Neodiprion lecontei: one gene and its partner. The protein of the gene in region 1 interacts with the protein of each later gene in a biochemical or structural test. Links are inferred from orthologs where the notes say so. Each region holds a gene or a part of one and is shown on either strand. Other genes may lie near its edges. The genes, in order: serine/threonine-protein kinase Pink1, mitochondrial; BAG family molecular chaperone regulator 2.

Region 1 (7,459 bases):
GAGTGAAATCATTGCATCTATGTATCTAGTTTGCTGCATAATGAGTAAATGAATCTTAAAAATTCATTAAACAAAGAGGTTATCGACTTACCGATACCGTGTCTGGGAATAATTCACAAAATGTACTATCCTTGAGGTTGTACTCAAGGCTCTGCGATGCCAACAGCCTTTTTTCATAGTCTGGTGTCTCTATGCTGCCCAGTGTCGGGCTCTTTTCAATCTGTGCGAAAACAATATCCATATTTCAACAGTTTTCCAATATCTCAAAACTTTTAATACATTGTAAATATTTGAAATTTTGACTGAAACCAGCAACATGTCAACAATAAGTAGAATATGAATTTTTCCATTTGTTTTAAGTATTGCAACAGTTTTTGAAACAATATTGGCGAAAACCTTAAAAAAAATATGCAATTTCAATGTGAAGTACTAGCACATGGGAAATGTACTTTACTGAAGCCTTCTTACCATGAAGCTAAGGAGACCGGTGAGAATGGTGGAAACACTCCATGCCGGGTTCCAAGTGTCTGGATGAAAATCGGATATGGATAGACAAAGCCGTGTGTTTACTTTGAATCTGCCGTTTGGCGTGGTCATGTATATGCTAGGTGGTTTGAAAGGAAACTCCCGTGGAAATACGAGCTTTCCGTGATAAAATCCACCCTCGTAAGGTGTACTTTCCGGACCGTTGACAACATAATGCCTGTAAGTATAAAAATAAATAAACAAATCAATTGTCTCGTCGTAGGCTTGCAGCCTGATTCAATGCTATACGTCGACTGACATCAATATTGTGCAAATGGATGAATTGTCAATCTTTTACGCACGCGAAGGATCAAAATAATGTTATCTTTATTACCATTCTAATATATTCGAAGGTACGGGTTCAGCTACGACGTACGGCACCGGGTCCTTTTTCAGTCTCAAATAGTCTTGCTTTAATCTAGCAGTGGCAGTGTTTGGCTTTCTATTCATTATTACCATATATATATAAACTAGGCTGGGTTGATCGGTACTATTGGTAATGGAAACTTCACTGTTTTCACACTTGTATTCACGAATGAGTATTAATTATTTCTCACATCAGGCTCAACTGTTTTTCGTGAGACACATTACCGCGATACAATTAATTACATGTATACGTATAACGTGATAACCTATTTTCGTAGAGGAGTCAGACGTCAGTTTTGACGATGAAAAAAAAAAATGATAAAAAAAAAAAAAAACCACGTCAACGTTGTAAAGGTTAACTGGAATTTGAGCGTTTGGAAAATACGACTTCACGGTACACTCGCAGAGTTTTGATAATACCTGGCTAAATACGGGGCGAATATTATTGCGATTGTTAGAAATCAGGAGTCACAACGAATGAAAAAATATCCTTCGACTTTGACAACCAACAATTTTCACGGCACACAAACATATGATGGAAGACCCGTATACCGGAAGTGAAACAATCCAGCATCCTGCGTAGTTGACTTGTGCGCTTTACGCATGACCATTATATTCCAAGTATCGCTCATTGTCAGGCGCACTTTCGTCATTCGAATCGTAAATACGGATCAATTCAGACTGAGAGAAGTTGGTTGACTGGAATTATTTTTCTTTATGCGTGTCCTCGCACTTCGCCAAATGTATCATCAGTAGACTGAACAGATTTTACAACGCAAGTTTACCTTTATAACGCCACAATCGCGGATGTACTTGCGAACTAGGAAGTATGATAAGTATCTATGCTATGACAGAAAAATTAATTATACTTATACCGTTATATTAGCGTTGTTGGCGATACGATTTTTTTGTCGCATTCAGCTTCACTAGGTACCTTATCCGAAAGAAGGAAAAACCCGCGAGTAGTATACGTCCTGTTTCCTGATTTCATATTTTCCCGCGCTTTTGCGGATTTCGAGTCTGCGCAAAATGGAGGCTGATTTCACCCAATCGGGTCCGAAAGGCAGGTTCATCCATGGGTATGATAATTGCAAATGGTGAACTTTGAACTGGCGACAAAAGACGTGTTCGAATTCTTTTAAAAATAATTAGAGTGTTCCAGGACTCTTGATAATTGCGCGATCAAAATTTTCCAGTTAAAACTCTTCGCGTCTGGGTTAGGGCCCGCCCGGGCTCTCTCGGCCCACGAGTGCGGAGAAATGTCGTTACGAACGGTAGCGCAACGTCTCCTGCAAAATGGTCGTGTCCTTCTCCGTTCAGTACGCAATCCACAATATTACACGCAAGGCAACAAAATACACGTTGTGGAAGTAGGTAAGGGCCTGTTGTCATCTTCTACCCGTGACTATCATACTCAAATCGACTCGACACATCAATCTCATCAGTCCGGTACCAATTCGCTGGCAATCGTCACAAATAACCATGTCACTATCATTAGGTTATCCCTTGCAACGTAACGGCGTATTATAGGTATGTCGTACTTGGAATGTATATGTAAATACTGCATTCATTTGAAACGTCATTTCCAATCTCAGAGCTGGTACGAATCGTTGTTTTCATTGTCTTTTTTTTTTTTTTTAGTAAAATCACTCGAGGCACCTTCATTGTTGCGATTATACGCACTTCCAAGTTTTGTACAATTTTATATACTCAGCATTTTACATGTGATTATATACGTTTAACGCGACTGGTGCTCATAATAATGTTAGATTTTACTCCCGCTTCAATTCAGTGTAGAGTGTATTCTCATTGTTTTATTCCATACTTTCGACTTGAAACATCATTTTATGCGAGAGAGTAGGAATAAATTACTTTCATGTTGAGAACAACACAAAGAATTACAGAATCAAAAGCAAACATTCTTGTTTACTATCATACTTATGGGACAATTTTTAATTCAATTCAGATTTTTATGTATCAATTAGTTAGTTGATTGATTACTAATGAACAAGAATTCTTGACTCATAATTAATTTCTTCTTCAACTATAATCTAATAAATATTTCAACACCATAAAATAAAAATAAAATTTCTTGCCAAACTATGACTAGTGTATTTTGAAATTCTTGATTCAGGTAAGACCCAGGGCCAGCTGCCTACGGGTGGTAATGTCTCTGCTGCAGGGAGACACCTCGGATTCCTGGGACTCCATGCTCGGCGGATATTTGTTGACAATGTTTTGAAGCGAGTGACCAATAGTCTCGCCGGAGATTTACGACGTCGTGCAGCAAAACGTTTATTATTTGGAGATTCAAGACCATTCTTTGCTCTGGTTGGCGTATCGCTGGCATCTGGTACTGGAATACTTACCAAAGATGACGAGCTGGAAGGCGTTTGCTGGGAAATCAGAGTATGCATACTTCCAGATATTTTTTTGGAACATAAAAATTAGATGCTCTTACAAACAAATTTCATTTTTTGCAACACAACTTCTATGAAATTCATATTTTATCATGTCATTCAAAGGAAAAAATAAACCCTTAACTAAAGCTTCATTAGACATGGTGATGTCATCTACAAATGGCTCTTATTCAAATGTCAGCTTATTTGTTATTATTATTCAGACTTTATGTTGTTTATAAATATATCATTTTTCCAAGTTCAAACTTAGCTGGCATTTATAATTATTTTGTAAATGGGATTTTAGATAGTCACATGTGAGTTGAATGTTATTTCAACACACTTGTTTTTGTAAAATTTAACTAATGAACGATTGTGAAAATTTTCTAGCCACGAAAAGGAACGCTAAACCGTCTGAAAATCGTCTATAGACTGTAATAAATTTAACATGTTATGTAATCAACTGTTACCTCATTCATAGGAGGCTGTGTCTAAGGTACAATGGAACACTCCAAAAAACGACCAGAATTACGAAGCAACAACGATTGAAGACAATCCAGTTGATTTAAAGGATTTTGTAATTGGACCAGCAATAGCCAAAGGATGCTCAGCAGTCGTGTATGCCACTCGTCCGATTGACCCCGAAGAAAAACAGGATTCTCAAATTACTGTTGATACCAGTAATAAGGATCTGTCCAGCTTTCCGTTAGCTATTAAAATGATGTTCAACTATGACGCAGAGTCTAATGCAACAGCTATTTTGAGAGCTATGTACAGAGAGACTGTACCAGCTAGAAAACATTGTCAGAATGAAGAACTGGCTTTGTGGGAACAGAAAATGGCTGACAACAAAAGAATTCTTTCTCCACATCCGAACATCGTTGCTATGTATTGCGTTTTTGCCGATAGAGTTCCTGATTTACCGGGATCATCGAAAATGTATCCTGACGCTCTTCCACCTAGGATTAACCCGAACGGCTCTGGAAGGAATATGAGCCTCTTTTTGCTGATGAAAAGGTACTTGACAATATAATCTGGGAGCTTCAAATTTCCGGAATTTTGCAGATTCTGAAAAATTGGATCAAATTTATTGGTATTTTCTAAAATTATAAACAAGAGAAACACTTGGGAAAGGTATACCTAGAATCATGTGTGTCATGTTACATGTTATGTTACAACGAAATGAGATATCAATATAGTGTATCGATTTCCAATGACAATACGGGTATTGTATTTCAGGTATGATGTTAGCTTGAAACAATATATGGTGGGCAGAGAATTAATCGTTCGAAAATCGATATTGTTGTTAGCACAACTATTGGAAGGGATTGTTCACATGTGCTCAGCAGGTATTGCACACAGGTAAGGGAGTCAGTGTTGGATTACGTTTTCCACTTGGTGTAGACGAATATTTCTTATATCATGCACCGTGGTTATTATACCAATGGATGACTTAATATTTGTTCATTAAAAAAGAATTAGCGTGAATTCTTCATGCTGCTTTTAATTTACGTTTTGAACAACAGATAAAAATGTGGTATTTTTGGTTACACGTAATGTATGTTTATTAATACAGTGAAATTTTTTAATACAGGGATCTCAAAAGTGACAATATTCTTCTGGACCTTTCAGAAGAACGTGATAATTGCCCGTCGTTGGTAATAACTGATTTTGGATGCTGCTTGGCAGACAAAACTCATGGTCTCTACCTGCCATATAGTTCTCACGATATTGACAAAGGAGGAAACAGTGCACTGATGGCTCCAGAAATCGTTAATGCTGAACCAGGACCATTCACTAGCTTGAATTACACAAAAGCTGATCTGTGGGCTGCAGGGGCTATTGCATACGAAATATTTGGTCAGAAGAATCCATTTTATGGGGAAAAAGGGCAAAAACCACTGCTGATGAACCACAGCTATATAGAATCGGAATTACCGCCACTTCCAGAAGTAATACCACCTGTTATTGTAGCATTGATTAAGAATATGCTTAACAGAAGCATGTACAAGGTATTTATTTTGTTAAGGGAAGGAAGTGTTTTCAAAAATTCATCAAAACTAATATCACTTCTATTTCCGTTACAGAGGAATAATCCCGATATGGCGGCAACCATTATACAAGTCTTTCTCTGGGCACCAAGCATTTGGTTAAACAGCGACAGTAAATTACCGTCAAGCAACGAGGTGATAGTTGTTCTACTTTTTGAGCTTTAAATTTCACGCGTTGATGTACTGTCATTTTTATTATTATTATTTTTGTGTTCAAGATTCTTCAATGGCTTCTGTGTCTCACGACCAAAGTTCTTTGCGAGGGTCGAAAGATCACTGATTCTACGCCAAATCAACTTTCTCAGAAATTGAACGCAGATCTCATTTCCAATCGTGAATATACTCAGCAAATATCTACCCGATCATGTGGACGTCGCACAATGCCCGAGTATCAATTGATAGCCAGCTTTTTAAGTAGAGTTTCACTGATAAATGTAAGAGATGCGTTGAAGTGGATTCATAACCACACTTAAACTCTAGTATTATTGGAAGGAAACAAGAGATGATTCTTAGAGTATTGTATACTGATGCATTGATAAAACATGATATGCTGGTAGAGATCAGTTGTGCTTTATCTCTTGAACTTTGATAAATTTTATTTATTTCTTCAATAGTCTTCAAAACTTTACAAAAATGTTGGTTCGGGAATCATATTACTATTGGGTATAACCAACATGGTTACACGCTATTGCAATACAAGGCAATCCTTACATTGAGAAAAAATGTCGAAAATGAATTTCTACGTTACTTCCAAGACACGTATGCCTATTCATCTTACTGTACATAAATTTTCTGATTTAAGGAAGAATATTTTTTCTTCTCTTCTGTAACTGCGCGAAGCACAAAAAATGGTACTGCAGAATAATGTTATGTCAGTCTCTTCTTTTTGGTGAAAGTGCCTTTGAAAAGGATGTACAGATATTATCAGCTTTATTTTTGAACCTATTACGTTGTTTTTCAAATTTTATTCTACTTATATCATTGTTAATCCACAACAAGTATTTTGAATACGTGAAAGAAATAAGGTTCCTTGAATAAACAATTTGTCGTATTATAAAATTGAGCACTGTGAATTTTGCCGTACCAGCAAATATCGATGAAAGTCGCAAGATACTGCGGAACTACTCGTACTTCGCGATACACTTGATTGTATCGAGATAAGTAAGAGCCTGTTGAAATATTGAGTTCCTCATGATGAATTACATAACATTATTTATTGCAGCTTGGTTAAATATCTCATAGAAATACTAGTCGAATATTGATAAAGAGTATATTTCTCTAAATTATCGTGTTCTGAAATCTAGCTTTAGGGGAAATTATGTTGAATTGGCTGTTATTATTTCATTGTATTTGTGAAAACTTGTATATGAGATGTAAATATCGATTTGAAGTTGAACTAGGATCCAAATAGAGAATACAAATATACGTGGAAAGTGCTCTTAAGTATCTATCTCATAACTATTGTACAGATTATATAACAGTGCTAACAATACATACATAAAATGGTTATATAATTTGGGACTAGAAAACTATCCTGAAGAATATCCTGCATATTTGCATCTCGTGTTTATTAGTTCTAACAATCATTTTTTTTTCTTTTTTATATCTAATGGATGAACTGGCTTTCCACTTCTCTGCATTGCAAATTTCATGTCTTCAATGTTTAAACCCTTTGTTTGAGCCAAATCTTCCAAGTATATGAGGTATTCTTCGAAACTGATGGCACGTTTGTGAAATTTAAAAAAACACAATCCAGTGTCAGTCGTTGTGACTTTATGCATATCAAGAATTTTAGCTGACGCCAGCCATTTATCGCTTTGCGAAAGTGGCAGCAACTTTACGCCTGTCGAATTGGAAAGTGGATCCATTCGACAGTATGCTGAAAAAGTGTCATAAGCTTTTATCACCACAAAACAGTGCGTGAAAGCAACTGTAATTTAGAGGTAATATGAAAAGAAAAGTCAATATTGATTGAATTACCTGCGAACATGACATCCAAAGGCACTTCTTCCACTTCCTCAGTTATTCTTAGTTCTTGCATTCTTTTTTCCACACTGAAATTTATATTTTTCAGTGTATATCAAATAATGATATGTGTCTTACGAACCATAAATAGCA
Region 2 (4,735 bases), on another chromosome or scaffold:
TAGTAGTCGTGATGAATGGCCAGCTTCTATTAAATAATTTTGAAGTAAATGAAGGCAAGGAGTGTGTCATGTACATACGTGGAATTTGTGCTTTAATCAACTTGCGGTCATTTTGCAAATCGGTTAAGATTGTGTTAACGTTAACTTATCTGGAATCGAAATGCTGTCTGGAGAAAAATCAAGACCACGTTTACTGCGTGTATAAAAACTTAAATAAGGTTGATCAACAATTGATGTTTGCACGAAGTAAGAACGAAACCCGAGTTAGTAAATTGGGGCCGAAGGATAATAAAACTGAAAATGGAAAGATTGTTACATAAAGGAATGACGGGCAAAATAAGTGTTCAAAGTGCAAAATTCATGACAGAATGCGTGATAGGTAACCTAACTTACCTAGAAAAATGTAAAGCCGGTCTATCCCGATCTTTTGTTCAGCAATTGCGAAAACATTTGTCCACGGTTTGCTTTCATCTCGCAATGCTTTATCCAACGATTCTTTTATCACTGCTATTCTGGCCATTTTTGTTTACAGGAATCTGTACACCTGCTTTCAATATAAAAACCAAAGCGTCAATCGCCGTCAGCGGGTTGATACTCAATGCCACTCAATGCTTTAGTATAGGAATCTTATTCGACACCTATTGCGACACATTACCACCTGAATCGAGCTGGGTGATGAAATAACTAAAGATTAGTAAAACTTCTGAGTTTTCCCCCACGTTTGTTGGTAATACAATTTTTTTCGCAGCGCACTCTTGAGAGATAAAAGTAAATAAATTTTCATTGTTTGCTGTTATTAAAATCAGTCCTACCACTCTTACTAGCAATTTCCTTTTCAACATTTATTTTTGTCGCTGTGGTAATAAAATATCATAAGTTTTCAACGTAGTTTTCAATTGGTTTTCAAATAAAAAAGTGGAAGGGGAAACTTGTGTCAACCCGCTTATTACCATCGAAGGTCTTTTACCGCCGCTTCGTCTTTTTTGGGCTAGCCTTAGATGTAGCTGGATCTTACCACCGGCAGGGCTACATACCGGAGAATGACAATAGTAAACGGCAACTTGACAACAGCCTGAAATCACCATACAACATCACATAACACAACTGGACCAATGTAATGAAAATATACACCATATATATTTATAATATGCCGACTACATTTGATTTATCGATTCTCAATACAGCCGTTCAGTGTGCAGATTTGTTATAGCACTACGTAATAGATTACCGGCGGAGTTTGCGAATGCGGCTGGTTGTCGTTTGACGTAAATGCAAATCTCGTACACAGCTGAGCCGGCACGATTCTTAAATTCTCAATATTTTCGAATAGGTTTACATGCAAAGCATAGACTTATAATTCTACTTATATGAAGCAAAGTATATATACTTTGTTCGTATCAATTGCGTGCCATTTTATGCGCCAGCTCTGCGCCTGTCATTTTAACAATTTTGGCGGGATATTCGCATAATTTGTATACAATGTGTAATATACATACTAACAGCAACTATCATGCGTTGACTGATATCATGTGTATTCACGTCCGTTTCTCCATTTATTATCCATAAAATTTTTACAATCACAGCTGCAGTCGGCTGCATTTTTGACCGTACATAAATAATAACACCTCTTATTTTCTGCATAAGCATGCACAGCAGCCGACGTACCGCCTTCCGTTAGATCGGACCAATGAAAGACATTTTCTACTCGATACGCCAATGCGCCACATACCAGTGTCGCACTCAGCAGTTGGTACCGAACTTTCGCGATGTTTCCCATCGAAAAATTATACATACATATAGGTGCTGAGTACCGATTGATTGTCAGATCCACGAAGGCTGTCAGATCCAAAGGAAATGAATTATCACTCGTAACGTGTTGTTCCACCGGGTCGTAAAATTGTGAAACACTATTTTTTCGGAAGTTTTAATAGACGTTAATTGGAATTACGGTAAAAGTGTCGTCTCGAAGTAATTACGAGTGGGAGATAATAGCCAGTTTGCAGAAATCATGGACAACAAACAGAGAGATAGGTTAGTCAGTATCCTCGATCAGGTCGAGGCTCGTGTTGAGGAGTTGAGAAGAGAAGCGTGGGAGCTTGAGGAAAAGAAAGAGAACTTATTAAGCACGTTGGACGCGCTTCAAAACAACGAAAGTGTATTTGAATTAGTGACCGGTAAGTTTGGATCGAGTTCGGTAAGTTCGATCCATTTAAATCCGTTGACAACAACTATGAACAGAAAATTCTAGAGGTTAACGGAAACAACAGGAATCCCCGAGTTCACGTTGCTACGAAATAATGAGATAACAACACGTAGTAAAGAATTTTTCCAAAATTTCCTACTGCTGTAATAGAAAAAGACAAACCTGTAAACAAAATTGTGTTTTCACCGTGAATTGTGAAATATTGCTATGATTCTTTCTATTTCATATCTAACACCATTATCCACAATCACTTTTAATCAATTATTTTTTTATTCTATAACCGAGTAGAGGAGAGAGAAGAAATCATGAGATCGGTGGAGAGGTTGTGGGTGCGGACCTCGACAGTTGAAATCCTCATTGAAACTCAGCGAAATACAGATCAAGAAGAATCTCTGCACAAGGTAGGAAAGACTTTTTTATGATTGATGTTTTGCTGAATGAAAATCATTATACGTAACCATTAAACATCCTATTTTATCTATGTTTTTCCACGTAATTACGCAGTTATTTTATTTGTTTATATTTATATTTTTGTAACACAATTACTTTTTTAATTAGTGAGTAGGTAATTAATTTCCATAATAAAATAGATGTAACAGACCACTGGCTTGATAGTGGTTGACCACTGGGTGGCCAGCTAACGTAATCGTCACTTTTTGATGGCTTGCATCAAGACCAACACTGCCTGCTTATATGTCAATAATTGATTATATTACTAGGGTGGTAGAAAATTTAATATGTGGTAATAGTTTATAATACTAGAATAGGATTTTTCATATCTTGAGAGACGTACGATTTCAAAACCGTTGTTAAGGCATTTGCTGTAGCATGAATTGCTGGTGATGAATATTCGATATAGCTAACATATTTAGTGAAATTTAAAATGATTTATTCGGATATTCTACATCGAATTATTTATAATTGATAATTAACCAGTGAAAACTATTCGTCACAATTTTTTAGTCCGTAGTATATCTGATCCGATCTGACGTCGTATGTTTTGTTACAGGTAAATGATTTGATCGACAGCTTGGTCATCCAATTGCAAGAAGATCCCCAGGCTACACGAGAGCGATGTAGGAGGTTCATGAGTGCTTGTACTTCCCATGGTCCGGAATATTCAGAACAAGTTTTCGAGTCTGCCATTTTAGGTTGTACTTTAGATGATCAAAAGCGTATCAAAAAAAGACTGCAGGGGCTGCTAGATTACATTAGTAAGATGCATACAATATAATTTTAACGAATATACGTTTAAGAGCTTATTGAGAAGATTTCTCTTTACTTTGACTTTCGAGCAATCATATTATATACCATCATGGTCTTTAACATAGTATATTATTAGAGTTCCATAGCAAAGAAGCAACATTTTCAATGAAACATTGCAGATATCATTTCCTCATAATTGATCAACCAGATTGCAGGTGTTCCTCAATTTCCTAGAGAACAAGCTAAACGACAATGAAGAGAAAAGTTCGAATTTCATATTTACGATTGTAGATAAAAAGCAACTCTGATAACACATAGCTAACGTATAGAGCATGAAAATATGAATTACCATTCAGCTACATTAGAGGAAGAAATCAAATTTAATCTAAATCGAAAGTTTGGTCTGTTTGCTGTCAGTCCGTTTTCTGTACTTATTTATTACATGTAATGTGAAAAAGAAAAACTACCCAATGATAATTCCTAATTTAATTCAAATACTTGATATTACACCACGACAAATTAAAACATATTAAAGAGTTTGTAATACTTTTGATCTGTTGAATAATAGGCACAATCGTCTGCAACGCACGTATTAAAAGATTTTTTTTTAAATTGCGACTTCCAGAGAAAACGGAATTATTTTTTTATTCAAATATAAATAGAATAATTCTTGAATAGAATAATACTGTTTTTCTAATCGATTAAATTAAAATCAAATTCAAACCTGGTGCGAGAAATATAGAACCTGTTCCTTATATTTTTACAATTGGTCGCAACTGTTATACTATAAAAGTTGTATCATCAATTGTTAGCTTAGGTATACATGTGTGATAAAAGGTTAAAAAAAATTCGTGAAAAAAATTACTTCGTCATAATCTATAAATTGATTGCGACTAAATCAAATTTATTTCGACTGATAAGACGTCATAGAAAATGACGATTATTTCAAGACAATGTAATGTCTCTTGTTATTATTAAAAGCTGTTATACAATTGGGAAGACTATCGAGAGTCATCAAGTCTTGTTACATTGTGTTCTAGCATAAAAGCCTTATTTTTTTATCAAATTCCTAATAACATATGTAATTTTTATCCTGTAATCTTATAATAAAAGCGTAGCACTGGGCTGCACTCTATGTGATAGAGTACGAACATTTTTTCTTTTTTATACGGATATGTTTCACAGACATAGTTGACCTGCTATTTATAATCCGTATACATTATATGTATATAGTATATGTATATTGTGTAAAAATCATGTCTATTGTCATTGCTGTGATAATGGACATTCATGTGGAATACAAACATCGAAAAGACAGAAAAGAAT

What was found.
Region 2: the proteins of serine/threonine-protein kinase Pink1, mitochondrial (region 1) and BAG family molecular chaperone regulator 2 form a complex in vitro, tested with the Homo sapiens proteins (2 studies listed by BioGRID). The link is inferred for Neodiprion lecontei from reciprocal best matches to the Homo sapiens genes PINK1 and BAG2.

Annotation. Positions count from the first base shown.
Region 1 is NC_060263.1:37,178,855-37,186,313, forward strand, and holds serine/threonine-protein kinase Pink1, mitochondrial, read left to right. Parts: upstream 1-1,965; 5' UTR 1,966-2,150; coding exon 2,151-2,265; intron 2,266-3,025; coding exon 3,026-3,300; intron 3,301-3,771; coding exon 3,772-4,307; intron 4,308-4,529; coding exon 4,530-4,652; intron 4,653-4,884; coding exon 4,885-5,302; intron 5,303-5,377; coding exon 5,378-5,476; intron 5,477-5,559; coding exon 5,560-5,814; 3' UTR 5,815-6,784; downstream 6,785-7,459. Other genes in the region: ubiquitin-conjugating enzyme E2 J2, read right to left, coding at 92-220, 469-703, 860-984. UniProt on the Homo sapiens protein: Serine/threonine-protein kinase which acts as a sensor of mitochondrial damage and protects against mitochondrial dysfunction during cellular stress.
Region 2 is NC_060264.1:8,009,672-8,014,406, reverse strand, and holds BAG family molecular chaperone regulator 2, read left to right. Parts: upstream 1-1,771; 5' UTR 1,772-2,008; coding exon 2,009-2,174; intron 2,175-2,491; coding exon 2,492-2,604; intron 2,605-3,212; coding exon 3,213-3,437; 3' UTR 3,438-4,010; downstream 4,011-4,735. Other genes in the region: receptor expression-enhancing protein 5, read right to left, coding at 394-520. UniProt on the Homo sapiens protein: Co-chaperone for HSP70 and HSC70 chaperone proteins. Acts as a nucleotide-exchange factor (NEF) promoting the release of ADP from the HSP70 and HSC70 proteins thereby triggering client/substrate protein release.